Nothobranchius furzeri: one gene and its partners. The protein of the gene in region 5 interacts with the protein of the main gene of each other region in a pairwise test. Links are inferred from orthologs where the notes say so. Each region holds a gene or a part of one and is shown on either strand. Other genes may lie near its edges. The genes, in order: inpp5d, bromo adjacent homology domain-containing 1 protein, psmf1, siah1 and khdrbs3.

Region 1 (5,976 bases), on a different chromosome or scaffold from region 5:
ACTTTGACTTTACACTGAAACTGTGTGTGATTTCCTGTCTAGCCTTATGTTAACTGCGGAAATTGACGTATCCAATAAGCGACACGTGGCAAAAATAGAACCCGATCCTATCTTTAGCAGTGCGGATGGTGGGTGAGTGCTGGCAGTTCATTACACAAGCACAAGGTTCGGGGGCCACAAAGACGTGGCCCGCCTGTGGGGAGCTGTGAGCTGCAGCAGTGGCTGTGCTTGGGAACTATTTGGTGGTTTAACCACCCAATCCAACCCCTTAAAGTGGAGTTGTCAAGGGGGGAGGCATTGGTTTAAGTCTCTGGTATGACCTGACTGTGGATTTGAACCCCGATGTCCCAGGAGGGACGGTCATACCACTAAGCCACTGAGAAATTTTTATACTCTTCACTGCTCATCCAAAGTCAGACTGGAGAAGCTTTTTCTAATATCTCTTGGGTGCAAGTTTTACAGAGTTTAAGCAAAAATTTCACGAGTTGGCTGAGTAAACACAAGATCTTTAACACTGAGAGACAGATTTTAGGAAGTAATGAGTCTTTTATCATAAGGATGTTTTCCAGAGATTAAATGAAACAGCTTGACTGGAGTTCTGATCAGGGGTGTACCTGGTGAAAGTTTTTCCAGTGGGACTGCGTGTACTCAGATCATAACCACTCTTCTTGCAATCCTTACTCCCTTGTCCACACGGAGCATTACGTGGTGTCATGCTGTAACTCCAGCCCTTATCCGTCACGTTTCCACTTTTGAATGACACTCCCATGTAGCTGGGGTTAGAAATATCATGGGGTGGAGTGGCACAAGACCTGCAGACATGATGGCACATCTGTATGTTGGAGTCATGCATGAGAACCGGTTTGCAATAATGTGAAAATGCCGTACTTGTTGAGGTCTCCCCCTTTGCATTTTGAGGGAACGGGATCTTCTCTTTCAATTTTAATGAAATCTGAAAGCAAAATAAAGCACAAAAGGCAGTTTTAAGAACCAAGGAGACGTTTAACAAGTAACCACTGAGCTGGTTTCCAGCCTCACCGTATAACTTCTCAGTGGGCTTGAACTCGGTGGTGCGTAGCTGCATGCCTCCGGTCAGCGTGCCAGTCTTCTCTCCGTGGTGAGTCAGAGTGATGTGAAACTCTCTGTAGCAGAACTGAGCAGCTCTCAGTGCGATACAACCCGCCCCTTTGGAAATACCACACACTTAAGAGTCATCTTCGGTCAGAGCGGCATTAAACTACAGAGTCTCCGTTTACCGTACGACTCATCACTGTCGGCTGATTTGACACAGATGAGGATGTGCTGATCCAAGAGGTACTCGGGGTCAGATATGATGGGGGTGAGCTTTGACAGACAGATAACACGTGTCTAGTGTTATGAGATGGTTAACAGTCTTTACTACCAAAACTACCTCTAATTTATTGTACCTCTACTTGGTTCCCGAACCAAACTTTTATGGAGCCGCATGCTTGTTCTGTGTTCTCTCCTTCTGAGGTCGTTGTCATTTCTGTAGGAAAATCTAGTTTTAATATTCTTCAACTGTTCATAGAAGAAACCAGAGATAGGTGAGAGAATCAGACATACTTTCCAAGCAGCTGGAATGGAACTCTATGAAGAATTTAGTCTTTGATTTCGTCAACAAGATGGCCACACAGTTCATGATTTGGATTCCACCTTGAGGAGCGCTGTTGAGATCTAAAAAAGGAGAACAAAGAAGACGTCAAACCAACGTCTGAAGCTCATTCCGCCTTCCTGAAGTCAACTGGTGATACTACCTTGTTTGGAGACAAATTGTGACGCAACACCGACTTCAAATGAGGCAAAAACCGGAGAGTGGTCACTCGTCATGATGTCAGTTGTGCATCCTACCGTGGAAACAGTTTCAAAACCAAATTACAATTAAAGCACAATAAAAACATGTTCTCCCACGAAACCATTTATAACAAGTAATCATCTTCTCAGACACGTGTTGTGGCTGCAAATTGGTGTTAGTTTTCATTCAGATCAAAGTTAAAGCTAAATCTTTTTCACTGCAATGAGATGTTTTCGTCAGCCTAACACTAGGTCAGTTAATTTCCAGTTATCAATACCTAAATGAACCTGTCATGTCTCCTAGAGTTAGTGTCCAACGCACGTTAACATGGTCCGCTGATCGGAGCAAACCAAGAACGAGAAAATAAAGAAATAAATAAGACAAAAAATGATCTGAAGAAACCAAGATCGGTAGAAATCTGCACATTAGTCTGAAGAGTCTAACCCCGGGTTTCCACGGGAGCCGTCAGCAGCACGTTACTGCAGCAGCACGTCTTGCTCGCGTAAGCTGCTGCTCGGCCCTTCCCACGAGACGCGAAGCAGCAGGGGAGCAGCTGTCACCGACCGAGCACGAAGTCACACGAGTGACTTCGTCAGTAAACACAACAACAAGCAGGAGAAAATTACAACATGGTTTGCGTTTTATGTTCTGTCCGTTTTATAATCGCCAATACGGACCTGAAAAACAAAGGAGACCGCTAGCTAGGTGATAACTTCTCACGGGGACGCACAGTTAGTAACGTTTTTAAAAGTCAAGCAACCGGAAGGCAGTACGTTCTTTATTCTGAAAATCTCGGTAGATTCTCTCCATTTCCGCGTCCGATTTCCTGTCTTTCCTTCCCCAAAAATGTCGAACTTGACCCGTTTCAGAGGCGTCGCGCGTAGAAAATAGAACCGGCGCGTAAAGGCCGCGACATGCTGCTCCTGAGACGCGGCCGACTCGCGCTGCTGACGGCTCCAGTGGAAAAGGTTCTGTTGACCACAGCGGTTCCTATCAGCAGCTATGACGTGCTGCTGCAGTAATGTGCTCTTGACGGCTCCCGTGGAAAGCCGTGGTCAATGTCAGAGCTTTGGTTCTCGAATCATTACATTTGAAGACCAAAAATGTTAAATCAACGAAAGCCCATCTGGGATTGAAAAGGGTTTGATAGTGTGGAGACACAAAATCCAACAATGAACTTCTGTGATTACCACAGCTCTCCCTTTTCAGTCAAGACCTCCGACCCCAGATTTCGGAGGATTTTTTTAATTTTTAGAAAAAGCATCTATGGGTTTGGAAAACGCACCGTATGCTTGACAGACAACATGAACCAGAGGGTAAGACTTCCGCAGGACGCGATCACACCATGAAGGCAAATTGTATTTGGTCTGCAGAAGAAACAGTCATTAGTTAAGCAGTTCATGTCAGTGTTCATGAAAAAAACAGTTTTGGAAGATGTTTGTGAAACACGTGAAAAGTTTTATTAGTCGACAATTATTTCTGATGTTTGATATCTTTTTTTAATCCAACTATGTTGAGAAGCAACATGTTTTCTTTAACTAAAGAGTGTTCATGCAGGACTGATGTAATCTGTGTTAAACATGAATTTGTTTGTTACCCTCAGGAGGTGTCCTGTGTGGCAGCCATTTTGAAGCAGCTAAAGAGGAAGCCCGCCTCTAATGCTGCCTTTATATAGTGAAATGCCTGAGTGGACTGAGGTGATTGGCCGACCTGAATTGGAGGGGGGGTCAGAGAGTATATAGGTGGACTGCTGGGTATTAGTGATGGGAATTCCGGCTCTTTTGAGAGAGCCGGTTCTTTTGGCTCAGCTCACCAAAAAGAGCCGGCTCTTTTTAGAGAGCCGGTTCTTTTGGCTCAGCTCACCAAAAAGAGCCGGCTCTTTCGGCTCCCAAGTGGCTCCTCAGATTTTCTGTTGCGTAGAGTACATTTATAACCAAAATAATGCAAAACTATATGTATAATAATTTACTCATATAAAAAAATGCAATATATCAAACATTTATCATTTCTATGGATTTAATAACTGAACACTATAAGAAATCTCCACTTTCCGACTGCTGGCGCTCATTTCCTCACCGTCTTCGTCGCACTCTCCTCTCTCGCTCTCCTTTTTCCTCCTCCTCATTCCCTCTCGTCTCCCTCCACCCACATGTGCTCTGCTGTGTGTCTGAGTCTGATCCACCCCTACTGCTCTGTGTTTGGGCAGTCTGGACACGCAGTTACACATGTTGACCAATCGCCTGTAGCTTTCACCAAAGCAAGAGGGGAGGGGACGGCTCCCAATGACGAGCCGGCTCCCGTCGTTCACTTCAAAGAGCCGGCTCTTAGAGCTGGTTCGTTCGCGACCGACACATCACTACTGGGTATGGCAAGAGATCTTTTCTCTCTGAAAGTGACTGGAGGAGAGTTGGATGGGTGGCCATTTTGAAGACAACTGGGATTTTCTGATTTTTGTTTGGACCAGAGGAAATAAAATTGGTTTTCCTTGTTTATCAACCAAGTCATCATGCTTCTTGTGTCCTCACTACACTTCACCGTGTAACAAACTACTTTATTCCTGGCAGCTGACGATGCCATCATTTGGTCTAAACACTGAAAATGTTTTACTGAGACCAGATGAGCCTAAAACAGACCCCATACATGTCCTTTTCATTCCAGAAGGTGAATGCTTCCATGACAATGAAATTAAGTGAGATAAACTGTATTTTGCATTCTTGGTGAAGCTGTTTTGAGAGGTTTGAAGCAGAAGCCTCACAAGGGACAGACTCCTGACTAAACCCAGGCTTACCCCTGTGGCTTTGGCCTTGGTGTAGGCATACTTCTCCCTTGTTTCTCTTTCAAAGCGATACGTGGGTGGAAATGTGATTTCCTCTTCATCTACAACCAGTAAAAATATGGCTTATTATAAAAAACAAGTTGATAATGCACATCTGTGTTTATTTATATTCTCTGGTGCTCACCAAAATGCAAGAAGACCTTTCCATCATTCCTTTCCATGTTGAGCTGGTCTTTATTGAGGAGTTCCTGGTACTGCTGCTGTTTGATCTTCGTCACAATGTGCTCAGCTTCCTGTAAAGGGAAGCAGTGTTCATGGTTCAGAGCGTTAGCAGCTCAGAGCTCAGTCGCTTGACAACAGCACTTGGGCTGTGTAAATGAGGTCTTTAGTTGTTTTTGTAAGTCTTTCAGTGGCATTAAAATCAAAAGCCGTTTTTGAAGATGTATTCATTAGTTTGTCTTCTGTACTGCTCAACCCTGAGTGGGGTCACAGGAAGCTTGCGTCTCTCTCCAGCAGTCGCCAAGTAGGAGGTGGGTAGAGGACACCCTGGACGGGTCGCCAGTCCATCACAGAGACAAACAATACATAAAACCATCCAAACACTCACGCACAACCTAGAATTGATTTAGAATCACCAATTAGCCTGACATACATCTGTGCGAGGAGTCTGCAGATGCAAGAACATGTTAACTATACAAAAACACTCCAGTTGGGATGTGACCCTCTAACCTTCTTGCTGCAGGGCAACAGTGCTACCATGCTGTTCTTTTGCAAGAATTAGCAGATTAAAACATTAGCAAGTAAACTGATGTATTTATCTATTCTTTATTTAACCCTCTGGAGGCAGGCGTTGCAGATTAGCAAGAGTTTGCCAATATTTGCCTGGCTCGTAACACTGTGGTACGGAGAATTAAAGATGTTTCATCAGATATTAAGAGACAGTTAGAGGCAAAAGGAACTGAGTTTGACTTTTTCTCGTTAGCCTGCGATGAAAGCACGGATGCATCCGACACCGCTCAGTTACTGATCTTTCTGAGACGAGTGGACAATGACATGAATGTGAGTGAAGAGCTTCAAGCTCTGCAGAATCCGGTTAATCACCTGCTGATTGAAATCAGGTGTGTTGAAAAAAAATAAACACACCTGATTTCAACATGCTTCTGCAGAGCTTGATGAGCTGCTGAACAGGTGAATTAACTGTGTTCGAACTGGGAAACAACAAAAAGATGCAGGAGACCGGCCCTCGAGGACTGGAGTTGCCCACCCCCGACCCTCGCCTCCTCTCCGACTCTGTCTCCAGCCTCGCTCTCCTCTGGTAAACTCCACACCAAATAAAGATTTTAAAGGTGCTTTGCAGAGTTTGGTGTCATCACGGGTCCTTCTAGTT
Region 2 (6,557 bases), on a different chromosome or scaffold from region 5:
AACATCTTTAAATCAATACATTTGCAGTTGTCTCCGATATAATGAATGCCTTGCAAGCCGTACTCAGGACAAAAAAGCCCAGTATTTTTTGGATCAGTACCGACCAGCTGATTTGGACACGTATTTCCCGATATTTGGACATCTTGCCTTGGATTGGATAACAGCAACGCAACTCTACCTCTGCAATGTGGATGCTTTATCTCCACAAATAACACAAGTCTGGGGGAGTTCTTCACTCTGCTGAAGCTGCTAATGCTAACGGTTAGCTTTTACTAGTCGGGACGTTGTCTGCTGATTCCTGATGTTAAACCAACAACAGCCTTACCCATTGTGAGTCATGATGGTGAGTCCATGAATGTTAAGTGACAGCGTGATGTAGAGCTATCTGACTTTTCAAATTAATGTTTCACCGTCCGTTTTCTATCAGAAGCTAAGGCAGGAGATAGGTGTAGAAGACTATTTCTCGTTCAGCCTTCACGAAAAACTCACGGTGTCTGACTATAATCAGAACTAATCATTAAAAATGTTTTTTCAGTGAACAACACCTTTAAATAATGTATAGGTCAGTGTAGCTGCAATACACTACACGTACAAGGTATGCTCCTCTCCATCGTTGAAATCAAAGACCAAATTATGCAGTTATTTAATAACAGATGTAGTTAGCTATTGATTTGACAATAGTCTGACAGAAAAAAACAATAACATTTAGTAATGAATGTCTATAGTGATTAGAATGACCTTGGCTTTCCACCAAACGTGTAAGCGGCGCACAACGTAATGGATGCGAGTTTACCACGACCACAGAGGCACCACCCTTCCTACCGAAAGAGTTTCAGATGTGCAGTGCCAGTGAATGGGTTCCATGCAACCGGTCCTGTTAGATCACATCACAGGAGAATTGCAAGATCACACGTGATTTTACAAATTCACGCGACTACAAGCTAGGAGAAAGATGGCGGGAAGTATCCAAAAGGTCTCTGGGTTATTTTCTGTTATTTTTACCTTTGCCAAGGCGTTCATGTTACATTTGCACATTCGGTGGAAAGTCGAGGTCCGACTCCAAAAGCTGAAATTGTCACGAACTACTGGTCTTTGGTTCAGTTATCAGCTCACCTGCCCCTGTTTTTAAATAGCCCACCACTGCTTAAAAACTCTCTGGTTCTTCCACTCTGTCTGATCTTGCTGTTTGTCTGTGTTGTTTTAGCTACCAGTTATCCCAGTTCCTCGTTTTGTTTTCCTGCCAGTTCGTTTTGGTTCCTTTGAAGCATTTGTGAGTTTACCGGCCTGTCTCCTGCTCATTCACCTGCACCTTGGGTCCAACACCCATTCATGACTGCTTTACTCCGGAGAAATCACTACTATAGTTATCTAGTTTAGCATCTTTTTTAGCAATAAAAATACAGATTCAACGAAATGTAACTAATAACCCAGCCAGGACACCTAGATGGGGCCCATAAGTAGTAGTGTCAGGAGGAGAAGAAAGAAGAAGAAAATGTAAGGAAAGAGAGAGAAAATTAATAGGAAAGAGGGAAATCAGTGGATCCCGGGCAGGGTGAAATAAGAGCAGAATAAGGAGAGGGCGACGAAGGTCATGCAAAAGCCAGCTTGAACAGCAGAGTTTTCAGCTGCTTTTTAAAGGAGACCACCGAGTCCACTTATCTCAGGTTCAGGGGGAGAGAGTTCCAGAGTCTGGGGGCCACAGCAGCAGATGATCGGTCACCTTTGGTCTTTAGTCTGGTGCTGCACAACCAGTAGGCTTTGATCACTGGACCTCTGGCATGAGAATTCAGGGTGAGAGCTGGGTCAAAGGTCACACCAAGATTCCTGACAGAGGGGTTGGTGTGAGAAGCAAGCTGACCAAGAGAATCTCTGACTTTGGGAACCAGCTTGTCTGGGGAACAGATGAGGATCTCAGTCTTATCTTCATTCAGCTGTAGAAAGCTCCCAGCCATCCAGGTTTTTAGAGTCTAAGCAGATGTGTAAGCTTAGACATCTCATGGGGCTTAAAGGAGATGTACAGTTGGATGTCATCTGCATAAAGATGGTAGGAGATTCCTTTGAATGAGCTCAGGATGTGCTATAGAGGAAGAAGAGCAGAGTCCCCAGCACAGAACCTTGTGGGACACCATGGGTAAGAGAGGTGGTGGAAGACCTAAACTTGGAGACGGCCACAGAAAAGGAGTGCTCAGACAGATAAGAGGAGAACCACTCCAGAGCAGATCCTGATAGGCCTACCCAGTCTCTCAGCCTCTCCAGTAGCAAGTGATGGTCAACAGAGTCAAAGGCTGCAGTCAGGTCCAGCAGGACCAGAACAGAACAGTCCCGTGCATCACTGTGAGTCAGAAGGTCATTTGAGACCCTAAGAAGAGCTGTTTCAGTGGAATGAGCTCTACGAAAACCTGACTGGAAACTATCATGTTATGCTCATCAGGAGCAGCTGTGAGTTGTTTAGCCCCAACCTTTTCCAAGATCTTGGAGATGAACGGAAGTTTAGAGATGATTTTGGACACTTATTTCCTGATATTTGGACATCTCTCTTCCGATTGGCCAACAGCAACATGACTCTACCACAGACTCCTGCACGCTAAACCAAAAACAGCCTTCCCTGTCATGAGTTAAGATGGGAGAGTCTATTAGCGTTAAGTGACAGTGTGATGTAGATTCGTCCGGCTTTTCAAATCCTAGAGTTTCACCATCTGTTTGCTCTCAAAAGCTAATGCAGTAGATACGTAGGTGTAGGAGACTATTTTCATGCTTAGCCTGCATGGAAAACTCAGTGACCGATTATGCTCCCAAATTTTCAATAAAACACTGGTTTTGCAGTGTCCCACACCTTTAAACGGTATAAAAAACTAAAATTGTGGGGTTATGTGAATAAAAAGCTAAATGCCTCAAAACGAATCAAACAACAGAGTAATGGACAATTTTCTGTTCCTTTTTCTCAAATCTGAAAACGCTTCAAAATCGCAAACAAATCTCCTGGAAGCGAAATTATGAAGAAAAGAGGAGTGACTCATGACTTTTGTTGATCACAATCTTTTATCAGAACCACGCGGCCAGGAGCTTTAAAAACTACATCGGGCAGGTAAGTCAACTAATTGTAGCCAACTCAATTCTGCAATTTGACTTTTTTACATCTGAGTTCATTTTTATCTTCTGAAAGTTTATGTTGCAACATTAAAAATTCTCTTTTAAAGCCTTGTCTTCAGAGAACAGCGGGCAGCATAATGTAGATTCAGATTAGCTTCATGTTTATGTTTATTTATTTAGGAGACGCTTTTATCCAAAGCGACTTACAATTTATATAACCTGTATACAGGAAATGCTGTGATCTGTGTGGGAAACCGGAGTACCCAGAGGAAACCCACGCATGCATGGGGAGAACACGCATGTAGATAAAAACCCATGTTCATTTATGAGGAAATCTGTTTTGTTTGACCTCTCTGGCTCTTACCAACACTTCCTCCACTCATATGAATAAAAAAAATCAACTAGAAATGTTGGTTTGACCATAATTCACCAAGAATCCATCATTCCAGCGTATTTTGGTAATGAAGGGGGAATGTGACCTTTAACTTCATAAATAACGGTTGAGTTTACACTTTTGAAATATTTCTTGGGCTGCGCAGCAAGAAGGTCCTGGGTTCGCTTCCTGGCCTGGGATCTTTCTGCATGGAGTTAGCATGTTCTCCCTGTACACGCGTGGGTTCTCTCCGGGTTCTCCGGCTTCCTCCCACAGTCCAAAAACATGACTGTTAGGTTGATTGGTCCGTCTAAATTGTCCCTAGGTGTGTGTGTGTGCATGGTAGTTTGTCCTGTGTGTCTCTGTGTTGCCCTGCGATGGACTGGCACTCTGTCCAGGGTGTATACCGCCTGATTGCCCATTGGCCGCTGGAGATAGGCACCAGCCCCCCCGCGACCCTGCGTGGACAAGCGGGTTCAGAAAATGGATGGATGGCAATATTTCTTTTTCATCCGACTAACCGATTCCTTTCTTTTCTACCTGTTAAAATAGTGTTTGACCAACTAAGACATGATATATATATATATATATATATATATATATATATATATATATATATATATATATATATATATATATATGTAAAATCACATCTGGTCTGTAAAGATTTTTTTCTTTTTATCTCGGGCTGCAGAGGAGCTTCTGAGGCCTTTTTACCTCTTTGGTGAAGGGTTATGTAATCTGAAAAGATCAAACCCGACCATCAGTAAAGCAGATACTTGGCTGTTTGATACAAACAACAAATCTTTTAATGACAAGAAACTGGGGGAAATGACATGAAGCAAGTCTGAAAAGCTGAATGAGCAGAACGCACGGTTACTAAATCAATTCAAACTCAATTCAAAAGTATACAGCAAGCTTTTAGCGGCGTGGGAGAGCAGCTCAAACGATTCTGTTATTGTGTCAAATAATCAATGTACCGTATTTTCCGGACTATGAGCCGCTACTTTTTCCCCACGCTTTGAACCATGCGGGTTATAATGAGGTGCGGCTTTACTGAAGATTTTCCTTCACCTGCCACTAGGGGGCGCTTTAGCAGAAAGTGAAACAGGTGGAAGTCAAAAGTGGAAATCGAAGAAAGTGCTCATTTTAATTTAGCACATGCAAGCAGCCGGCACGATCCATACTCTCTCATCATGGTAACTACACGTATGAGTTCATATGATGCCGCATTTAAGTTGAAGGCCATGGATCTGGCAGTAAAGGAGGGAAACAGTGCTGCCGCACGTAAGCTTGGCATGAATGAATCCATGGTTCGGCGCTGGAGACGGCAGCGGGAAGAACTCATTCAAGCCAGCTTCACCCGGGGATGATGACAGCAACACGGACATCGCCACAGAAACGGTATGTGACGAAGCTCTTCTGAGGCTGTTCAACTCCGACACTGAAGAAGAGGACTTTAATGGCTTTAGTGCGCAAGAGGAAGATGAGAGCGAATGACTTCTGGTAGACAAGTGTGTTTTATTTACTAACCAGGCATGTTTTGTGTGCAGTTTTAATTTTCTAATCATCCAGGGCTTATTAATGCTGTGTCAGCGCTGTTCTTTTCTTCTAAACATGCAAATTACGGTAATAACGTGTCATTTCTGTTTTATTTTATAACCATCCAGAAATATGAACACTATCAGCGCTGTTTTCTTTTCTAAACTTGAAGGCACGTTCACCCGTGTTTAAAATTTGTTTTGTTGAATTAAAACAACAACGAAAAACTTCCGTGTAGCGTCTTTCTGTCTAATTATCTTATGTTATGGCCGTACATGCGCTGTGCGCCGGAGACCTGCATGTGGCTGCTGCGCCGCGGCTTGTATTCGAGCGCGGCGTGTGTGTGTGTAGAAAACCTTTTTTTCTGTTGTTGGTGCGGCTTATATTGAGGTGCGCTCTATAGTCCGGAAATTACGGTATCAGACTTTCAGGGAAGGGGACTGAGTCGGCCGTGTTATCAAGTCAAAAAATGCATTACAGTAAAGAAAATTCAGATTTTTTTAAGTAGCACTGTCTGGTTTGTTAGAGGATAATTTCCCCTGACTGGCATAATAACATGCATACACTTAGAGCTCAAAACATATTTTAGGCATTTTTACAATGAGAAATAAAACTACAAAGCTGGTTAGTGTCACTTACTGTATCGATTGGTATAGCAAAAAAAATCACGTTGCTGTGAAGACACGAGTGGAATGTCGCTTCTCTTTCTTTGACTGTGTTAAAAAGCTGCTGCATCCCCAGAAAGCTCCTTTTTTTTTAAAACTAAAAGAGACGGTATAAAATGCACCCACAGCAGCAGTAAAGATTACATTGGTCAAGCTGCTGAATCGCAATAAAAAAGGAGAAAACAGCAATAATCATTCTTCTGTAAAAACAGTCTAACAAACCCACATGGTCATACATTGGATATCCAGTTTTGCCAGATTAATTACTCCACGCTTCATTACCGCTTCATTATGGCAGTCTGTCTTTATACATCCTCTGCCAACAGTCTCTCCTACATCTACGTTTAAATGACTACACCCTGCCTCGCTCTCGGTCTAACGGCCGCCCAGCAGGAAGGGACTAGTGAACTTGTTGAGTCTTATTCCTAAACATCAAGTCTCCCTACTAACTCACAATTATGGAATAAAACTGTAAAAAAACATCCTTTGTGATAGGTGTAAAATATGTTATGGTTAGTATGATCACAGTATTACAAATTTTTGTTTAAATGTGCGGAAAAAGAGAGAAAAAAACCCTCCAAATGAAATGACACAAACAGTAAAGCCAATAGCAATACTGATATTATTGTATATCATTAAGCAATATATTTTTAGTAGTAGAAATCACTTGCAAAAATAACCTTTCACTCTGCAAGATGACTTTAATAAAAAGTTTATCACCAGCTGTATGAAGATGAAACATTACCAATCAAAGCTGCTGACCGGAGTTTTCTCCTTTCAGGAATTATAGATGACTTTTAAGAAATACCCTCAGAATCAGTGAATCAGTAAAAGAGTCTAATGGCAATACCTGAAAATATGAATCTTCTGTTTGTATGACCTTTGTG
Region 3 (6,597 bases), on a different chromosome or scaffold from region 5:
TCAAAAACATTTTAATATACAGTTTGAATTAGTCAAGTGCCAAGATCCATCCATGGATCCATCTTGTTCCGCTTATCTGAGGTCCAGTCACTGGGGCGTCAGGTCCATATGGGAAGCCTGGACGTTCCTGTCCCCAGCTCTCTTTGTGGAATCCCAAAATATTCCTACGCCAGACAGGATAGATACAATACCTACAGTGGGCTCTGGGTCTTTCCAGACGGGCCCGGAAAACCTCCAGGGGGAGGCCACCTTGGATGCTCGAATCGATGCAGAGGAGCAGCGGCTCTACTCCGAGCCCCCAGTCAGGGTTAAGACATTAAATTTTCCTTAAAAATATACAGATTATTTCGGAGTCTTGCTAATACCTTTTTTTCTGAGAGAACACTAAAATAATTAGGACTGAGGGATGATATGACTCACCCAAAAGGATCCAGGTCTGCTCCTCCAACTGCAAACGGAGGATCCAAAGGATTGGGCCTGAAAAGAAACAAAAGCACAGACGTCAGTCTGGTTTCTTTAACCTAAAAATAAAATAATTATAAAACAAACATGAAACTATTTAAAATCTAGCATATTTATAACTTCCTTTATGGTTAAAATTTGCCAATATTTCTTAAAAACCTTTTGTTGCTTTTCTTGCGATAAACATAACTTATTTTAAGGCTGTTGAGTGTAATTTTTGATCTTTTAATACCACTTTTTAGCACATATTCAGTAGATAGCCTTAGCTTTGTTGTTTTCTAACAAACTAATCAGAACACTGAAGTAAAACAACAGAGTTCCAGCCGGCTGGGATTTCCACAGCAGACTCCAGGGAAATCAGGATGTGAAGAGATGGCTTTAAGCATCTTTGGAACAAAAACAGCCACATTTGGCAGAAATTTGAGACAATGTATTATAAGATCTGAATATGAGACAAAGAACGCTGTGCTTTAGTTTTGGGAAAGAGAATTTCAGTTGCTGATCATAAAAGTTTACTATAAATGCAAATCTTTATTTTTAGAGCATTGTCAGCGACCCAGAAACTGAGCACCGTGTTTGACTGATGGTAAATTCAAACAGGAGAATATTACTCCGTTTCCCTGTACTATACTGTATTTTTAAATGTTCTATATGTTCTATCCAACCTTCATCTGTTCTGTATTGGTCCTATCACCTCCTCCTCCTCTGCTCCCTGTGCACACTCGTCTTTCTAACATCTCCCTCAGCAGCGAACCCAGTCTACACATTCATCATGTCTTCATTTCTCTTCCACTTCTCTGTTTTCTCCTCACTTCAGCCTCTCATCTTCTCATCTTTTTTGTCTAGCCATAATCAAGTCCTTGTCCTTCCTAATCCCCCTTGACACTCCATCTCTCAAGGAGCGGGGAGGCGACAGCATGAGGTCAATAAAGTGCTGTTGACATCACCTCGCTTCTCATCTGACCAGGACGGAGGACGAAGAGGAGTGAGTGACTGTTCTGTCTGTCTGGTTTGTATAATTTGGGCAGTTTTAGCTTTCAGGTCAAGGTTACTATATAAGACCAGTTTCTGAATTTATGTGAGAAGAATACTGATCAGCTGTATGTGACGACCAACCAGTGAGGCTGTGTTCCCTGGTGAGGATGTCCGCCGGGCATACGGAGAGGGCTGCTGCCTTCTTCCCTTCTTCTTTGTGCCTCATCTTCTTCATCTCTTCTACTCTTCCTCTCTGTTTTCTGTTCCGTCTCCTTCTTCTGGGGAGGCAGCAGCTGAGCCGTCACCATCTGTGACAAACCCTCCATGTCTTTGAACACACTGCAAAAAATAAATAAAAAAAAAACTGAAACTTTAACTCTTTACAGATGATACTTTGTTTTTCTCACATTCTGGCCTCTCTACATTATTAAATACAGATTAATAAATGTAAATGGTTCAAATGAAATAAGTTACTTGTCAATGTGAATAAATGTAAGTCCACAAAATAGAAGATTAAAATAACACAATAACTCCTGTCTCATTGACAACTTGTCTTATAAAATATAAATCACTTGCTAAAACATTTTATCAGTTGATGTCATACATTGTTTGGAAAGACTTCCCGTTTTTCTACATTTGTGTAATGGAATCACCTCCTTATGTCACAGGTTTTAGAAGTGTGGGAAACTCATTTAATCAATGCATTTGAAGTGGTGTCTGACAGGAATGATTGGTTGCTCTGAACGTTGAGGATTTCTCTCCACAAATAACACAAGCCTGGAGGAGTTCTGCTGTACGGTGGAGTTGCTAATGATAATTGTTACCTTCTACTAGCCGAGACGTTCTCTCCTGGATGCTAAACCAATAACAGCCTTTCCCGTCATGAGTCAAGACGGGTGAGTCATGAATGTCAAGTGACAGTGTGACGTAGATCTGTCAGGCTTTTCTAATCCTAGAGTTTCATCGTCTATTTTCTATCAGAAGCTACTGCAGGAGGTAGGTGTAGGAGACTATTTTCATGTTCAGCCTGCATGAAACACTTAGAATCAGAAATAATCGTTAAAAATGGTTTTTCAGTTCCACACCTCTTAACACTGGTTTCCTCGTTTTTTTTTCTCTGCCAAGTCCTAACAGATTACACACTAACCTGTCAAATGTGTGCAGCTGATCAGCATTCACATGATCGCTGATGTTTACTGTCAAGTCTGACACCTGCTGCGTGTTGAGGTTCTTTAAATAAACAAACAGAAAAATAACAGAATATACTTACAAGTCTTATCAAAAAACAAATACATTTTTTAAAAGGCCCTTCAGGTTTCAGGGAAATCTACAAACAAACTCAAAAGATTATTGAACAGATACAAGTGCAAACTTCCACCATGCAGTTATTTTTTAATGCTTGATGAGATTACAGTAAGATTTCATCTAATCTCATAGTCTTCTGTAAGAGAAGACCCTTTATTTTTGCAAACAACAAGGACCCAACCTCAGCTTTGGTAATCACTAATGTAGCAAACTGGTGGAGTTCACACATGAAGCATGCAGACTGGTTTCCCCTCTTTCTGGGTTTACCATTAGGTTGAATATTAGTGCAGAGTCCACCGTGATGGCCTTCAGTAGCATCTGTGTGTCTGTGCTGTTGTCTTTATAACGCAGACTGTACAGCTCCTTGTTGCTGTTCCAGTCAGCAGGTAGAAGCTCAGACTTCTTATCACTGCTACGAGGCTGCAGAAGAGGATGGATGAAAAACACAAGAACAGAAACGAATAACAGAAAAAACAAAGGGTTAATGAACAAAAAATAGTAGATTTATTAAATCATCTGATGTGCGTCAATGTGACCCAGCCCCACAGAGTGAGTTAGTTTAACCTGCTAAAAGATGACTTGACATGTTTTGTTTTGACAGTTCGTTACTTTAAATCATTGGGTTTAAATGAAACAATTTGATTGAAAATAAGTAAAAGACGTCTCCTAGACATTATAATCCAGCGAAGTTAGCTAAATCCAGAAAAGTATACCCTTTTGGAAAGCTAAAGCTAACTTCAAAATAGCAGGTTAGCGTGCGCAAGTTCCCCTAGAAAATCGATTGCTTAATGTCTCCTTCAATAACATAAAATAATCACGTCAGAAACTGTGTAAATGACATTATTATTCTGTACAATATCTTACTGCTGATCTATCGGCATTTATTAGTTTAATTAAAACCTTGTACTTTTTCAATAACGTGTAATTTCATGTCTGATCTTTTGTCTGTTCGTTTCTTTTATGAAGCATAAATAGTGAAACCCTTGTTACAAAAATAACAAACCAGGTCAACAGGTCAGGTTACTGTTTGTCCATTTTCTGCATCATCTGAATCTGACCCAGCTTCAAACAGCCGATTTTACTCACATCATCTCCAGACCCGATACACCTGTATCCATTCTTTATCATTTCCCAGTGAACGAAGCACACAACGGCGTCATGCGGGCAGCTGATGCTACCTGCGACACAGGTGTACAACACCTCCAAGCCTGCCATGTTTCTTTAGTGTCTCGACATCAACACAGCATCAAAACGACGAAAAGAAAACGAAAGTCTTCCCATTTGCAACCTAGAAACTTCTAGCACTTCCTGTCTGGGGATTTCAATGTAAAAGCACCGCAAAAAATTCGTTGCAAGGCCAGGCGCCTTGACATTGAGAAACACTCTTATAGATACATTCTGTAGATATTTGTACTGAGTATTTTTACACAAAAGTAATGAAAATGATCTGTATTACATCTGTGTTCTAAATGAAATCCAAAAAAAAATTATAAAATGTGCAAAAAACCAAACACAAAAAATAATTATGATCAGAATTTTACAAGAACGTAATGCCTTTTCAAGTAAAATAGAAGACGAATAATAGTTTATGTGAACTTTATTTTGTTTTATTTATGTAGTTGTCTTTTTAGACAACATACTTCATTTCCCATCATGCCTTGTACCGGCAGGGCGGAAAGCGCTTCCTTGTGAAGATGGCGGCTCCCTTGACTCTACTTTTAGTTGTAGCCGTTACAATCCGCGCGGCTCTTTACAGATCCTCTCTAGCGGAGGTAATCGCGGAGCGGGTGGAGGTGGTGTCACCCATTACCGCCTGGAAACGAGGTAAGCGCGGGTGCGGCTGTCGTCCGGATCCCAGTTGTTCGGTTAAAATTCCGGTTCCTTCCTGCATCTTCGTCTGAACGATGCTGTCAAGTCAAACCAGTTCCGATACAAAAGACGGAGAGTCCTGATCGGCTTGCAAAAACAAATCCAGACAAGCCTAGACAAGTGCTGATTTCTTATAAAAATGTTGAATAATGTGTGTGGATGCTACATGTGTCATGCTTCAGCCCCTGTAAAGTAAAACCAGATCATTACAAGGTGATTGATGATATTAGCTCTACCATAGAGGATAACACAGATGTTGTTTGTTTTTTGCAGTTATTGAGGGTTTGGCACTGCTTGATCTTGGAGTTTCACCATACTCAGGAGATGTGTTCCATGAGGTAGGAGATCCGCACATTAAATACCTATCATGTTATCAGGCCATGACAGCATTTGTGTCTGCTTTAGGGGTTAGGTGATGAGCTGATTTCAAATCCTCAAGGATTTAAATGTGTTGCCAATCTGCCAAAGTAATAATAGTAGGATTGTCACAAACTATTTATCAGAATGATTGGGAAATGTTGCTGCCCAGATCGATTTGGATGCAACACACTCAGGGCCTGATCACATTATTGTGTATTTATGGTATTTATGGCCCAGTCCCAATACTCACACCTCCACACTTGTGCCTTTTAATATCATGTTCCCAGCCAGGGGTGCAAGTGCATAGGGTGTCCCGATTTTCAAGTGCAGGAAGTGACCAAGCTCATTTTGCACCCTTGATCTGCACTTTTCCCAGGTCTGTATCAATGTGGACTTGGGTGACCCACAGTTACCCACAATCTATTCCTGCGTGTTAAGTTTGAGAAGAAGGCAGGGCAATGGCTCAAGTGCCTTTTCTGAAAATTTGTATTTTCAAATGAAAGAAATTTTAAGACGATTAATGACATTTATTCATGTTGTGAATTTTTTAAGACTAAGGTTTAATGTGGACGGCAATGAATTTCAATTTAGGGTCTCCAAAAAGGGTGGGTAGTCTGAACTGTAGTTTGGTGCATAAGCACTGACCACAGTCAGAACCCGTCCCCCCACACGTAGGCGGAGGGAGGCTACCCTCTGATTCACTGGGGTAAACCTCAACATACAGGCACCAAGATGGGGGGCAACTAATATGCCCACCCCTGCTCAGCGCCTCTCAGTGGAAGCAACTCCAGAGTGGTAGAAAGTCCAACCCCTCTCAAGGAAACTGGTTCCAGAGCCAGAGCCATGCATTGAGATGAGTCAGACTATATCTAGTTGGAACCTCTCAACGTCACACACCAACTCAGGCTCCTTCCCCACCAGAGAGGTGACATTCCATGTGCCAAGAGCCAGCTTCTGTAGCCGAGGATCAGACAGCCAAGGTCCCTGCCCTCGACTACCACCCGTCACACACTGCACCTGACCCCTTTGGCCCCTCCCACGAGTGGTGAGCCCATGGGAAGGGGGATCCACATTTCCTCTTCGGGCTGTGCCCGGCTGGGCTCCATGGGTGAAAGCCCATCCACCAGGCGCTCGCCAACATGCCCCACCTCCAGGCCTGGCTCCAGAGGGGGGCCCCCGTGACCCATGTCCGGGCGAGGGAACACAGTTTCCATTTATATAATTCATCATAAGAGGTCTTTGGGTTGCTCTTTGTCTGATCCCTCACCTAGGACCTGTTTGCCATGGGTGACCCTACCAGACGCAAAAAGCCTCAGACAACTTAGCTCCTAGGATCATTGAAACACTCAAACCCCTCCACCACGGTAAGGTGGCAGCCCACGGAGAGGAACTTACTACGCACTTACTACATGGACTGAAATGCTTGCCCTGGTTTTCTCCATGTTTAATGCTCCTTCTGTCATCCTGGAAGAGAGCGTTAAAGCTTGCAAAATACACAGCCATTTTCTTCTCCATGTCTGAATCTCATGTCAATGATGTCAATATGGTGAGACACAATTGTAGTCCTAAATGTCTTTTCACACAAAACCTAAAATCACTGTTCGAAAATAGCGAATAACAGAGTCT
Region 4 (5,053 bases), on a different chromosome or scaffold from region 5:
CAAGGAGCCGAATAACAACACGTCGTATCAAACTGTTTCAATGTAAAATTTACAAACCAGAATCCCTCGTTGTTAGAAACACTTTGCTGGTGATGGCGTTCCGACTCTGAGGCCAGGGGTCCAATGGTACAGGACAAATGTGTAATTGTAACCCAGCCTTTCCCGGTCCAGACTCGTGTCGACAGTCTAGACTTCAGATTTATTCCTGCCCTTACCTTGTCCCTGTCGCCTAGCAACCACGACGATGCAAAAACTAGACTTGGCACACGAGTGACCTGTTTGAGTTTCAACACAAAATACTTAAAAACCGGTTTATTTTACAGTTTAGTCGTTAAAACCGTATCCGTACACAAAAGAACCACTTTCAGCGTAAACGTAGAACCGGGTTTTTAGTTATGGAGTTGATGATAACTATTTATAAACAAACGTTAACATCCTGGTTCTGTTCATTAAACCTGACTGGATCTGTCCGTTGCAGGTGGGCGGGATCAAAGATAAGGTCCTAGCAGCGCACAGAGCCGGAGTGAAGCGGGTCATCCTCCCGAAACGCAACGAGAAGGACTTGGAGGAGCTTCCGGCAAACGTCCGAGCTGACCTAGACTTCGTTATGGCCAGAAGCCTGAAAGAGGTGCTGAACGCGTCCTTCGACGGCGGATTTCCAGGAACGGCGAGCGCCGAGTCACTCCCTGAGCTCAGCAGCAAACTGTGACGGAAACCTGCCAACTCAAATCCCTGATCCTGATTTAAAGTCTGCAGGAAATGATGTAAGTTAACGTCAGATTTAACAGAACCAGCTGGAGGACTTTTCAGTGACACGGACTTCATTTAGTTTGTAAACGGATTGATTCAGAGAAAACATTTTAAACTATTTTTGTGACAAAAACAAAATCTGACCTTTTAACCTTCAATATTTAAAAATGTCTGATTTCTAATCAAAGCAGGAGGTAAATAGGTAAATTTAAAGATACTAAACCAGATTTTTTTTCATTAATGATAAAATTGCTCAAGTGTTGATGTAATGATTTGTTCAGATTAAACTAGATTAACAAACTGATTTAATGTAGAGCTGTTATGTGAGAGTCAACCACTGGGGGGCAGTGTTAGAGCCATTATGTCCAGAAAATGTTTAAAGAAATGCTGAAGATGAGTTTTAACTTTTTCGTAGTCCAAATCACCATTATCCTTGTTAAAGTGCAGCGGGAATGTCAGAGTGAGTGGGAGTTTTAGATCCATTTTTCCTGGAATCTAGGACCCAACGACCCGTTAGAAGGATGGGGCGGTTTCAGAAACGTTCCGTCTGGAGTCGAGTGAAGAACTGGACGTATGAAAAAGATAGATTTATTTAATGACAAACGAAACAGAAGTCATGAGCTTGAAGGAGAGCAGCATTACTGGAACTCCACGTGAGGACAGAGAGATGACTGACTTTTCCCTCCGCAGACAAACAGGAAGGACAGAGAGACGGACCACAGGAGGACAGAGATGAAAGCCCAACTCTGGGAGAAAAAAATCAACCTTCAGGAGAACAAAAACGACAATCACCGAACTTTAGCCACATATTTTACAACTGCTTTTTAGTTTTTAAAAGTCGATACAAAAATGATCTTTATATCTCTATTCAGTAATAATAAACATTTGAACAGAAGAACTGTCTCTAATCCAGGTTGGGCGTTCAGATGGAGGAGAAACGACAGTCTAGCAGGTCTGAACCACAGATCCATCTTTTTCATGCTCCTTTCATACAAAAACAACTAAAACAGTTTAGAAACAGACGCATGAAATAAAACCTCCAAACTAAAGTGAAATGTAGTGTTTTTTAATCTCTTCCTAGTTCTGAAAAACTTCTGTTCCTCGGTCAGGTCTCACCTGCTCAGTGTGTGTGGTGCAGAGGACAGGTGTGTTGTCGTGTGTGACGGCACACTACAGCTAGTCCAAAAAATAGAGCAGGTAAAGATCCGGCTCAGAGCTTCCCGTTCGGAGTCGATTAACTATCAACTACGGCTGTCCCAGTTTGACCTTTGAGCTGGCCGGGTCAGACCAGGTGAGCCTGTTTTATGAACACTTAGTACAGATCCAGGGTTCTGGTGCTGCAGCCGTCCGGTCCAACGTCTAAATCGTTATCAGTCACAGGTGAAACGAGCGTTTGGGAAGAGGTTTTATGGATGAGTGAGTTGATAGCAGCCACTCAGATCTCCGTTCGTCTACATTTGGATTTTTGAAAAGAAGCTAGCTGGCAAGCTAGCTTGTTAGCACTGACCAGGAGTCCATGTTGTATTGTCCTTGACATGACCTTCAGGATGAGGAGAAACAAAACGGGACTAGAACTAAACAATCCAGCCAATCACAGGTGAGTCTGACAAGTCTTCACTACACAGGTATGTCCTAATGCGCTTCACTCATCCATACATAACAGCCTGGGCCCTCACTGCTGCCCAATCACAGTCCAGATCCATGTCACAGAGGGGAGGGGTGGGGCTGTGAGGTCAGCATGGACGTGACCCCTAAAAAAATGCACCCCCCACCCTCCTTTACAATCTGATGCTCGTCACCTGGGAGTCCTCAGCACATGGAGATGGTGACGTTGATGCCCAGGTTGCCATTCTCGGCGAACAGCTGTGCGATCGATGTGTCAAACACCAAGCAGTCGCTGTTCATGATTGCCGTGGCGATGCCCTCGTGGATGGAGCGTGGAGTCGCCTCCCAGGTGAGCCGACGCCGGTGACCGTTGAGCTCCAGCCGGTATGCGAAGTTTTCTGCCTGCTTGCGAGTCCCGATGAGCTGCACGATGGCGAAGAACTGCTGGTGGCCGTCATACTTCTCCTGCTTCTCCAGCACCAGCATAAAGTGGAACCCGAAGCAGGACTGCATCATGACCCAGTCCACGGCGCCGGGCAGGTTGATGTCTGTCGCCAGGAACACGATGTCCTCACCCTGATGCACACACAGGTCAGAGGGTGAGCAGGCAGAAGCAGAACCCTAAGACTCATTACTGTGTGACCCGTGTCCAGCAGAGGGCACTGCTACAAATCACTACAGCCGTTAGAACAAAAGACTGAAAAATTTGGTCCTGAAAAGTAAAATTTATTTGTAAAATCTTGAGATTTGACTTCATTAATAAAATCCACCAGGAAACGAGCTCAAAGCACCAAGCGTGACCTCTGACCTGCAGTGTGGTGATGGACTTGTGCTGGTGCATCAGGTGTGGCATGACTGCATCCAGGGATCCCTGCCACTTGCAGGAGGCTCCGGGACACGGGCAGGAATATGGTCGGAACTCGCACAGCTCCTCGTGCTCGGTCTTGTCGGTGTGAGGCAGAGTGACTTCACAGCCTGATGAGGCGTACTTACAGGGGAAGAGCACCGAGTTGGCTACCTTCTCCATGGCCAGGTTCCTGATGGAGCCCAGGGGGCCCCTGCAGGTGGGGCAGCAGGTGAGCTTGGGCCGGCAGTTGGAGCACACCTGAGACGAAATATGAGCTCAGTAGTTACACTAAAAAAAAAGTGTGTGTGCGCACCACCACGAATGACTGGATGGGTTAAAGTTAAAACATCCAGACCAAGTGTGAGTTCATCCCGATGAGAGCACTAATTAATGCTGAGGCATCCTTTGGTACATTTGGAAAAAATTGAGTTTTAACAGATATTTTTAAAGAAAAATCTTCAAACATATGACATAACAGCTTGCCATATCGCAGCTGATTCTAACCAAACCATCAGATCTTGGTTAAAAAAATAAGCCATTTTAACTTTCTGTGGTTTGGTTCTGGTCTCATCTGGGCCGGGTCACAGGGCTACATGACCCAGGAACGTCGGTGCTCTGTGGGGTTTGGTTGATGGGGGCGATACGTACCAGGTGTCCCGACTGGCACTGCAGGATGGGGGGCAGGACATAGTCAAAGCAGACCGGACACTCGAACAGGCTGGCCAGGTCACTGTTGGAGGCCGTGGTGCCCGACAGGGTGGGCACGCGCTGAGAGGGAGGGCACTTAGAAGTTCCTGTGGGCAGCGCGGTGGCGGTCTGGCGACTCATTTCTGATAAAAGACACAAGAGTGGAGTTACAGCGATAAACACCTTTACACTTCTATTTAAAGAGCAAGTCAACCCCTACCAGAGTCTAACTCCACTCCCACTTCATGTTTGAAAAATGCAACAAATGCTGTTGCCTAGCAGACTGAGAAGGCAGAGCTGCTAACAAATACACACACACACAGGCTCACGACAGAATTGTGACATCATAATGTACCAGTTTACATCATAGCATACCTCTTAGCCAATAGCGGTGGCAGATTTAAATTAAAATGCAGTGCAGAGTTTTTACCTGATCACGGCACAACACACACACACAGTTTTAGGCAGAATATTTAAAGTTCAACTAAGATGCACTGAAGTACCAAATTATTGACTACACGTGTCTGCAGCACAATTAAACACACATTTATATAGTTTATCAGCAAAAAAAAGTTGATTTGGGGGTGACTTGCTCTTTAAACTAAAACTCAATTAAAATGTGGAAGTACTGATGCTGGAGGGACAGAAAGAAGCTAAAATTGGGCAACGGTGGCACACGAGTTAAGTGCTCGTCCTGTAATCGGAAGGTTGTGGGTTCGACACCGCCTCAACCAAAACAAAAATATTACAGAAATCAGTGATACACCAAGCCATGTTGGTGGAATAAACTGCCTTTATATTTAAGATACATAAAGATTGGACATTTTTCAGAAGAAAATCTATTTAATTTCAAATGTCAATTATGCATTAGCTGACACAGCACATGATTCAGTTCACAATCTTAGGTGTGTTCTTGCTGTGTCTTTGTAAATCTTTGTGACGCGCCACCATCAGCGTCAGCCTGAAGAAGCCGGCAGCTGTCGGCGAAAACCGTAGCTACAAACAGGTAAACAAAACTGTTTCTGTGTTTAAAAAAAGAACGAAAGCATGGATTCAGTTCACAAACCTGTAATCTAACGTTTCTATGATTGTTCTAATGACTTATGTTTTATTGTTGTAAATGTAATGTTTATGGAAGGAAGAATGCTCGTTACCACGGTAACT
Region 5 (5,976 bases):
TATATATATATATAATCAGCCATAACAGTAATAGCTATATGGGGTATCGGTATCGGCCTAAAATATTTATATTGGTGCATTCCTAATTTTCACCTTAATGGTTGAAAAGTTGTTTTAGGCTGTCACAATGCACATTAATTGGCTTACAAAATTCACAATATTTTTCCCCAAAATCGCCAATTTTAACTGGCAGGGTGATATTGCAGTAGTCTTGCGAGAAAAAAAAGCATTTTGGCATTTATACATTCACAAAGTACACAAACTTCACTAAAAGTCAGAAAATACTCAAAAGCAGAAACAATTTTTACAAATGTTAAATGATGATTGATGGTTTTGGATGATTCTAGTTTAAAGATCATGTTGTGAAACTGTAAGGTTTAACTCGATTTTTCAGATGACACTTTTTAGGATATGAGCTGTTTACCCTAACCCTAGAAATCTAGACCAACCGTAGCAGTAGCCAAAAGATTTTGTTCTACAGATCGGTATAGCCATGCTTCATTGTCACCTCTGCTGGTCTATCATTGGCCTGAACAGTTTTGTGTTTTGCCAATCACAGCCTTATGTTTGTTGGGCGGCCTTAGCTAGAGAGCTTCCACAGAGAAATATCTACAAAGATGGTGCGTCAAGAACAGCGCTAGTTTGAAACAACTTTGGCAACAACTTTGGATGATTTAGACAAGTGCTTTTCTCTGAGCCATGAAAAGCTAGAGGTACTTAGGTCCTCTATTTCAAAAATGATGTATTTGCTTCTTTTTCTTCTTCTACTTTGACGCTGTATAGCAGACGTCCCCATTGACTGATTTCCGTAGCAATGAATACATCACATTGCTCATTGCTCTGAATTGTCCCAGTGCTGCCTAGTTGTGTGTGGAGACAGTTTGAAAGGCAACCACAGATTCGGCTCCACGACCGATCTCTGTCTATGGGTCCTCATCAGACTATATTTACATTTTTAGGATGCCTTGCCAGCCTACTTTACCCTGACAAGCTGCTAACTATCATTCTGACCATTCCTTTCCAGTAAATGCATGGTCAGTCTTTGTTATTAGAAAACTATGGTAGAAGTTTATCCAGTAAGTAGGCCAAGGCGTGCAAGTCAGCATCTGTTTAATATAAGTTATTTAATTTTTTATCTTACGGCTCTACCTAAGTTGTATTTAATTGAAATGTGAGGATTATCATGGATAACTAAGACTAAATGGTACAAGCAGAGCACAGATGCCAATGGGTAAGTTAGCATGTACTGTACATCAATCATCTCTGCACTGTGTTATGCTAAGAGGACAAAAAGCAATCATTTAAATGTCAACAGCTACAGTTGAAAGTAAGATTGCATTTTTCCAATTTTTTTTATTAGCAATGTCAAAGCACCAAACCCCACTTTGGAAAGATCTCTGCAGTAGAACGTTGCTGTAAAACATCCTTCCATGATAGCTAGATGTTACTTATTAAAAACACTATGCAATAAAATCATGTCTGCTTTTGTGTTGTAACGTCCAGCAATGGTCCGTTTTTAGGTACAGTTGGACCATTCAACATCTATTCAACATCTATTCAACATCTGGTCAAACAGGAGACACAAGGCTGCATGTATTCCCTTTAAATTGGCCTGCCTCCATCCCACCAGCTGGAGCTCAATCCCTTCAGCTCTAAACACAAATAACGAAATGTCAACAATAATATTCTCTCCTCAAGGTCCAATCTTTCAGGTCTTCATGCCTCCATATAAGGAACACTCGCAGCTCGGATCAGTTGCTAAATCAAAGAATGATTTCCTAAACCAATAACGACTTCTTCTACACCTTATAAGCTAGATAATCATTAAATAAACATTTGTTTATTGCTACTTATAATAATTATGATATAATGAAATATTTCATTAATCTGATTGAAGTTTGAAATGAATGTTATGTTGCTTACATGGCAAGGTCATCACCATTTGCACTCACCCAAGAACAAGTAAGGTTGAGTTGAACTCGTGGCTCGTCATAAATAGTCGTTCACCCCAGTCAGAGCCTCCGTATCAAAGAAGGCGTGTTTCTGAGTTTCTTGGTAACATTTCTCAAACCTGTCAACCTCTGGTTGGCTACACAAAAGTAACATGAGAACATCAAAACTGGATCACTCTCAGGTTATCTATCAGCTCTAGAGACAGCTTTAGACCGGCCACCTGAAGCAAGACCCTCTTTAACCATCAAAGCTTTTGGCACGTCGTCAAAACCTTTTTGCACCTGCGACGCTGACACCGCAACAGTTCCTGCAGAATAAGCTGATATTGTTTAGACTCCTTAAGAGTCCCAGACGTGTGGTTTCATCCGTCTGTCGTGACCTGAGACATCTCTGGACTGAAGAGTCGGTGCCACGGTATTCTACAGCCCTTCGGTGCCAGAGGTCAGCTGACCTCTCTGACCTTCGGATCCACCAAGAGGGTCTCTGAGAACGGGTGAAGTAGACACACAGATAGCGTCTGATGTGCTTTGATAAAAACCAACTTCATAGCTTACCGCAAACCAAATTCTTTTACATCCAGAACTCAGCTCTCCTAGATACGGAAGTTCTGACTAACACCGCATTCACACACAGGTTCATACATCACATCTAGTTCCATCCATCACAGTAAATGTTAGTTAACGTGTCATGTTTTAATTGTTGGTAAAATAAATTCTTACTTTTATAAACCTGACTCTTTTCTGAAGCAAAATGAAGTGTGTACAATTCCTTAATAAAGAAAGAATCCTAGAATCTTCTGATAAACACACAAAGACCAGGCAGGGTTGATATTCTATATTTATATAGAGTATCACAGCTTATTGGTCATAAGTAGAGGTCATATGTTTATGAGCTCTTAAAGCACTCAATTTCCTAAACCCTACAGTGCTATAATAATAATAATAATAATAATAATAATAATAATAACAATAATAATAATATAATGGCTATTATTATCATTATTAATGTTGCTATAATGAATATTTTTGCTAATCTTTCTATGTGCTAACAGGAAGAGGAGCTACGACAGAGTGGTGAGGCCAAGTATCACCACCTGAATGAAGACTTGCACGTTCTCATTGAGGTGTTCGCCCCACCAGCTGAAGCTTACGCCAGGATGGGTCACGCTCTGGAGGAGATCAAGAAGTTTCTCATACCAGTGTGTTCTATTCACCCCTTTTGCACTTTTTTTCTCGCCCTTTGATGATCTATTTTTCTCTACTCTTTGGTATCAGTTTGAATTATTCGCAGCCCTCTGAGTAGTCATGGAGATCAGTCACTTTGTTTTCTAGAACTTGTAGTGTAACGCCTACTTCACACAGGAAGCATCAGCAGTGCAAACAGCAGCAGAACGTCGCTGCTTCACATCAGAATCCACTATGGAGGCGACTAAAACAAACCGCGACACGGAAATTTTCAGGCGCGTTCCAGAAGCAGCAGGCTATGCCTGCGCTACTAAAGATAGCATCAGGTTCTATTTTAGCCACATGGTGCTTTTGGGACACGACAATTCCCGCAGTTAACATAGGGCTAGACAGGAAATCACGTATGGAAACCGACACGATATCAATACTTGGATCTGAGTACTCGCCGATACCGATTACCTATACCGATAATTCTACCACACCAGAAATGCAATGAATTGGAATACAGGTTTTATTTTTTTCTCTGCTTTCAAGAGGAAAATAGTGTGAGGTAGATAAAAATTAAATATATTAATAGAAATGATCACAAAACTAAAATATTAGGTGAACAGAAAGGACAAGTTACAGCAAAGCCACTTTCAGACATCTGCATTGGCATCGGTTAACTTTTGCTGATACCAGTACCGGTATCTGTGCATCCCTCGTGTTAGGTTTTATACTGTAAGTAAGTAAGTATTGTATTGAAAGCCTGAGCACGCACTAGCTAAAGCTGACATCCACCAGATGTTGAAACCAAACTCCTGCACCAGAAAAAAGGAGAAGGTATGTATAAAGTGTGCTAGTCGGTTTTAGCGTTAGGTTGAAGGTGACTGATAGTTCATGTTTTAGAGTGGCTTTAGTCAGAGTAAACCAAGAACCAGGGATCGTTTAGTGATGACCTCTTTAAGACAATCAGCATATGAACTATAAGTTATAAATACGGGGTTCTGAATCAGAAGCAAGTCAAAAGCAGTTCATTACAAAATAAGAGAAACTAGAGGAGACCTCGTCGCCTTGGATCAACCTTTTCTGGCAGAGGAAACAGCACGCGGCTTATTTACTTTTCTTCTATTCATAATGAATGAAGTCTCCCATGCTCAGAGCGATAATGATTTACATTTCATCATTAATTATCTGCATACCCATCCAACAACCCCTTCTCCATTCCTTCTTCCCACCATCACCAACAACACACTTATCGACTCAGCTAATGTGACAATCATATTAGTCATTTGTGATTAAAGGTCCATTTTTATATTAACTGATGTCTTTTAATTTAGCGGCAAAAACAACTGTGTTAGGAGATAAAGGCCAGTGGGGTACGGAGGTCTTATCAGCAGAAGACGTGAGAGGATTTGCTGCTTCAGGAAGAACAGCCATGGCAGTACTGTAAAGTAGTACATCAATTAGATATTCCCAGGGCTGTAGGCCTGGAGATAAAGAACGTCATTTAATACAGTGTAATTGAAAGTGAGGCTTTTGCCTCCACTGTGTGTGTGTGTGTGTGTGTGTGTGTGTGTGTGTGTGTGTGTGTGTGCGGACATGATTCCTCTCTGTGTGTGTGCAGGATTACAACGATGAGATCAGACAGGCCCAGCTGCAGGAGCTTACGTACCTGAATGGTGGCTCTGAGGATGCCAAGGTGCCATCGGTCAGGGGCAAGTCATCCACCCGTGGCAGAGGGACACCTGTTCCAGGGCCTCCCAGGTAACTTGGTTCCAAATGCAAACTCCATCCAGCTGGGAGATGAGCGTTATTTACAGATAAGAAGCTTCTGGGAAAACCTTGTTTCTTAGTAAACAGGCACAAGTTCTTGTTTATGTAAAAAGGCCCAAATTAGCATTTTTATATTAAATAATCCTGGGTATTTTACACTAATGCTTAGTGTTAATTTGGTCTAATTGGAGTGGGAATTCATAAACTTGACAACAAGCAACAAATCTGTGCATTTGGGGGAGTTGTTGATATCCAGCTGTTATCTGGAGGGAGGTGGGGTACACCCTGAACATGTCACCAGTCCCATCACAGAGCCACATAGAGATTCATGAAACATCCATTTGACGGTTCAGAGCAGCCAGTTAAAGGCAAAGTTTATTAAAAACAAACACTTCTCACCTTTTTTTCCTTATTTTTGATATGTGATCACTTTAACATGCTGGCTACATGTGAAAATAATATTTCACCCATATTTCCTGCCTTAGCTGCCGATAAATAGAAAACACTCGGATCAGAAACCGTACATCATGTTGTAAAATCAACCTTCATGGACTCACCCACCTTGGCTCATGACAGGGACGGCGTTTGTTGGATTAGCATCCAGGGAACAGCAGAGAACGTGTTGGCTATTAGAAGCTAACCATTATCATTAGCAACTCCTCAACATGGCAGAACTTCTTCTGGCTTGTGTTGTTTTTGCAGGTAAACATCAACATTGCAAAGCTAACAGTCAGTGGTAGAGTTGAGATGCTGTTAGCTAATCAGAGGCGAGAATATGAAGAAATGAGTCTAAATGCTGTTGTCTTCAGCTCGCCTCTCCTCTCGCTCACTTCTAGTTCCTCAAAATGTAGCGCCAGAGCTTTTATTTCCACAGAGATTGATTTACAAGGAATTTATTGAGACCACTGCAATTGTATGGAAGAGAACGAGTGGTCTTGGTTTTAACCTAACATGCTGTTTGCTTTTGGTCTGTTGTGGCATTTCACATCTGGTCCGGTCCCTTCCTGGCAGCATCAGGCCGCCCCCGCACCGCCAGGTGTTGTTCACACCGTGATGTCTGTGGTTCACGCAGCACTTTCAGAAA

The links.
Region 1: the proteins of khdrbs3 (region 5) and inpp5d interact in binary tests that used the Homo sapiens proteins (3 or more experiments, as listed by UniProt). The two-hybrid records come from large-scale screens. The link is inferred for Nothobranchius furzeri from reciprocal best matches to the Homo sapiens genes KHDRBS3 and INPP5D.
Region 2: the proteins of khdrbs3 (region 5) and bromo adjacent homology domain-containing 1 protein interact in binary tests that used the Homo sapiens proteins (3 or more experiments, as listed by UniProt). The two-hybrid records come from large-scale screens. The link is inferred for Nothobranchius furzeri from reciprocal best matches to the Homo sapiens genes KHDRBS3 and BAHD1.
Region 3: the proteins of khdrbs3 (region 5) and psmf1 interact in a two-hybrid assay, tested with the Homo sapiens proteins (2 studies listed by BioGRID and IntAct). The link is inferred for Nothobranchius furzeri from reciprocal best matches to the Homo sapiens genes KHDRBS3 and PSMF1.
Region 4: the proteins of khdrbs3 (region 5) and siah1 interact in a two-hybrid assay, tested with the Homo sapiens proteins (3 studies listed by BioGRID and IntAct). The link is inferred for Nothobranchius furzeri from reciprocal best matches to the Homo sapiens genes KHDRBS3 and SIAH1.

What each region holds. Positions count from the first base shown.
Region 1 is NC_091756.1:60,979,460-60,985,435, reverse strand, and holds part of inpp5d (phosphatidylinositol 3,4,5-trisphosphate 5-phosphatase 1), read right to left. Parts: intron 4,883-5,976; coding exon 4,774-4,882; intron 4,691-4,773; coding exon 4,602-4,690; intron 3,181-4,601; coding exon 3,099-3,180; intron 1,866-3,098; coding exon 1,776-1,865; intron 1,696-1,775; coding exon 1,585-1,695; intron 1,508-1,584; coding exon 1,428-1,507; intron 1,345-1,427; coding exon 1,257-1,344; intron 1,186-1,256; coding exon 1,039-1,185; intron 953-1,038; coding exon 889-952; intron 813-888; coding exon 615-812; intron 1-614. UniProt on the Homo sapiens protein: Phosphatidylinositol (PtdIns) phosphatase that specifically hydrolyzes the 5-phosphate of phosphatidylinositol-3,4,5-trisphosphate (PtdIns(3,4,5)P3) to produce PtdIns(3,4)P2, thereby negatively regulating the PI3K (phosphoinositide 3-kinase) pathways.
Region 2 is NC_091742.1:23,400,049-23,406,605, reverse strand, and holds the start of bromo adjacent homology domain-containing 1 protein, read right to left. Parts: upstream 4,040-6,557; 5' UTR 1-4,039.
Region 3 is NC_091743.1:68,641,887-68,648,483, forward strand, and holds the start of psmf1 (proteasome inhibitor PI31 subunit), read right to left. Parts: upstream 4,049-6,597; 5' UTR 3,958-4,048; coding exon 3,829-3,957; intron 3,163-3,828; coding exon 3,010-3,162; intron 2,668-3,009; coding exon 2,585-2,667; intron 1,777-2,584; coding exon 1,579-1,776; intron 478-1,578; coding exon 421-477; intron 1-420. Other genes in the region: pigu (phosphatidylinositol glycan anchor biosynthesis class U protein), read left to right, coding at 4,437-4,566, 4,885-4,949. UniProt on the Homo sapiens protein: Plays an important role in control of proteasome function. Inhibits the hydrolysis of protein and peptide substrates by the 20S proteasome. Also inhibits the activation of the proteasome by the proteasome regulatory proteins PA700 and PA28.
Region 4 is NC_091744.1:81,660,119-81,665,171, reverse strand, and holds the end of siah1 (E3 ubiquitin-protein ligase Siah1), read right to left. Parts: intron 4,033-5,053; coding exon 3,851-4,032; intron 3,461-3,850; coding exon 3,164-3,460; intron 2,932-3,163; coding exon 2,560-2,931; 3' UTR 2,142-2,559; downstream 1-2,141. Other genes in the region: lonp2 (lon protease homolog 2, peroxisomal), read left to right, coding at 479-709. UniProt on the Homo sapiens protein: E3 ubiquitin-protein ligase that mediates ubiquitination and subsequent proteasomal degradation of target proteins.
Region 5 is NC_091751.1:1,068,781-1,074,756, reverse strand, and holds part of khdrbs3 (KH domain-containing, RNA-binding, signal transduction-associated protein 3), read left to right. Parts: intron 1-3,004; coding exon 3,005-3,151; intron 3,152-4,743; coding exon 4,744-4,883; intron 4,884-5,976. UniProt on the Homo sapiens protein: RNA-binding protein that plays a role in the regulation of alternative splicing and influences mRNA splice site selection and exon inclusion. Binds preferentially to the 5'-[AU]UAAA-3' motif in vitro.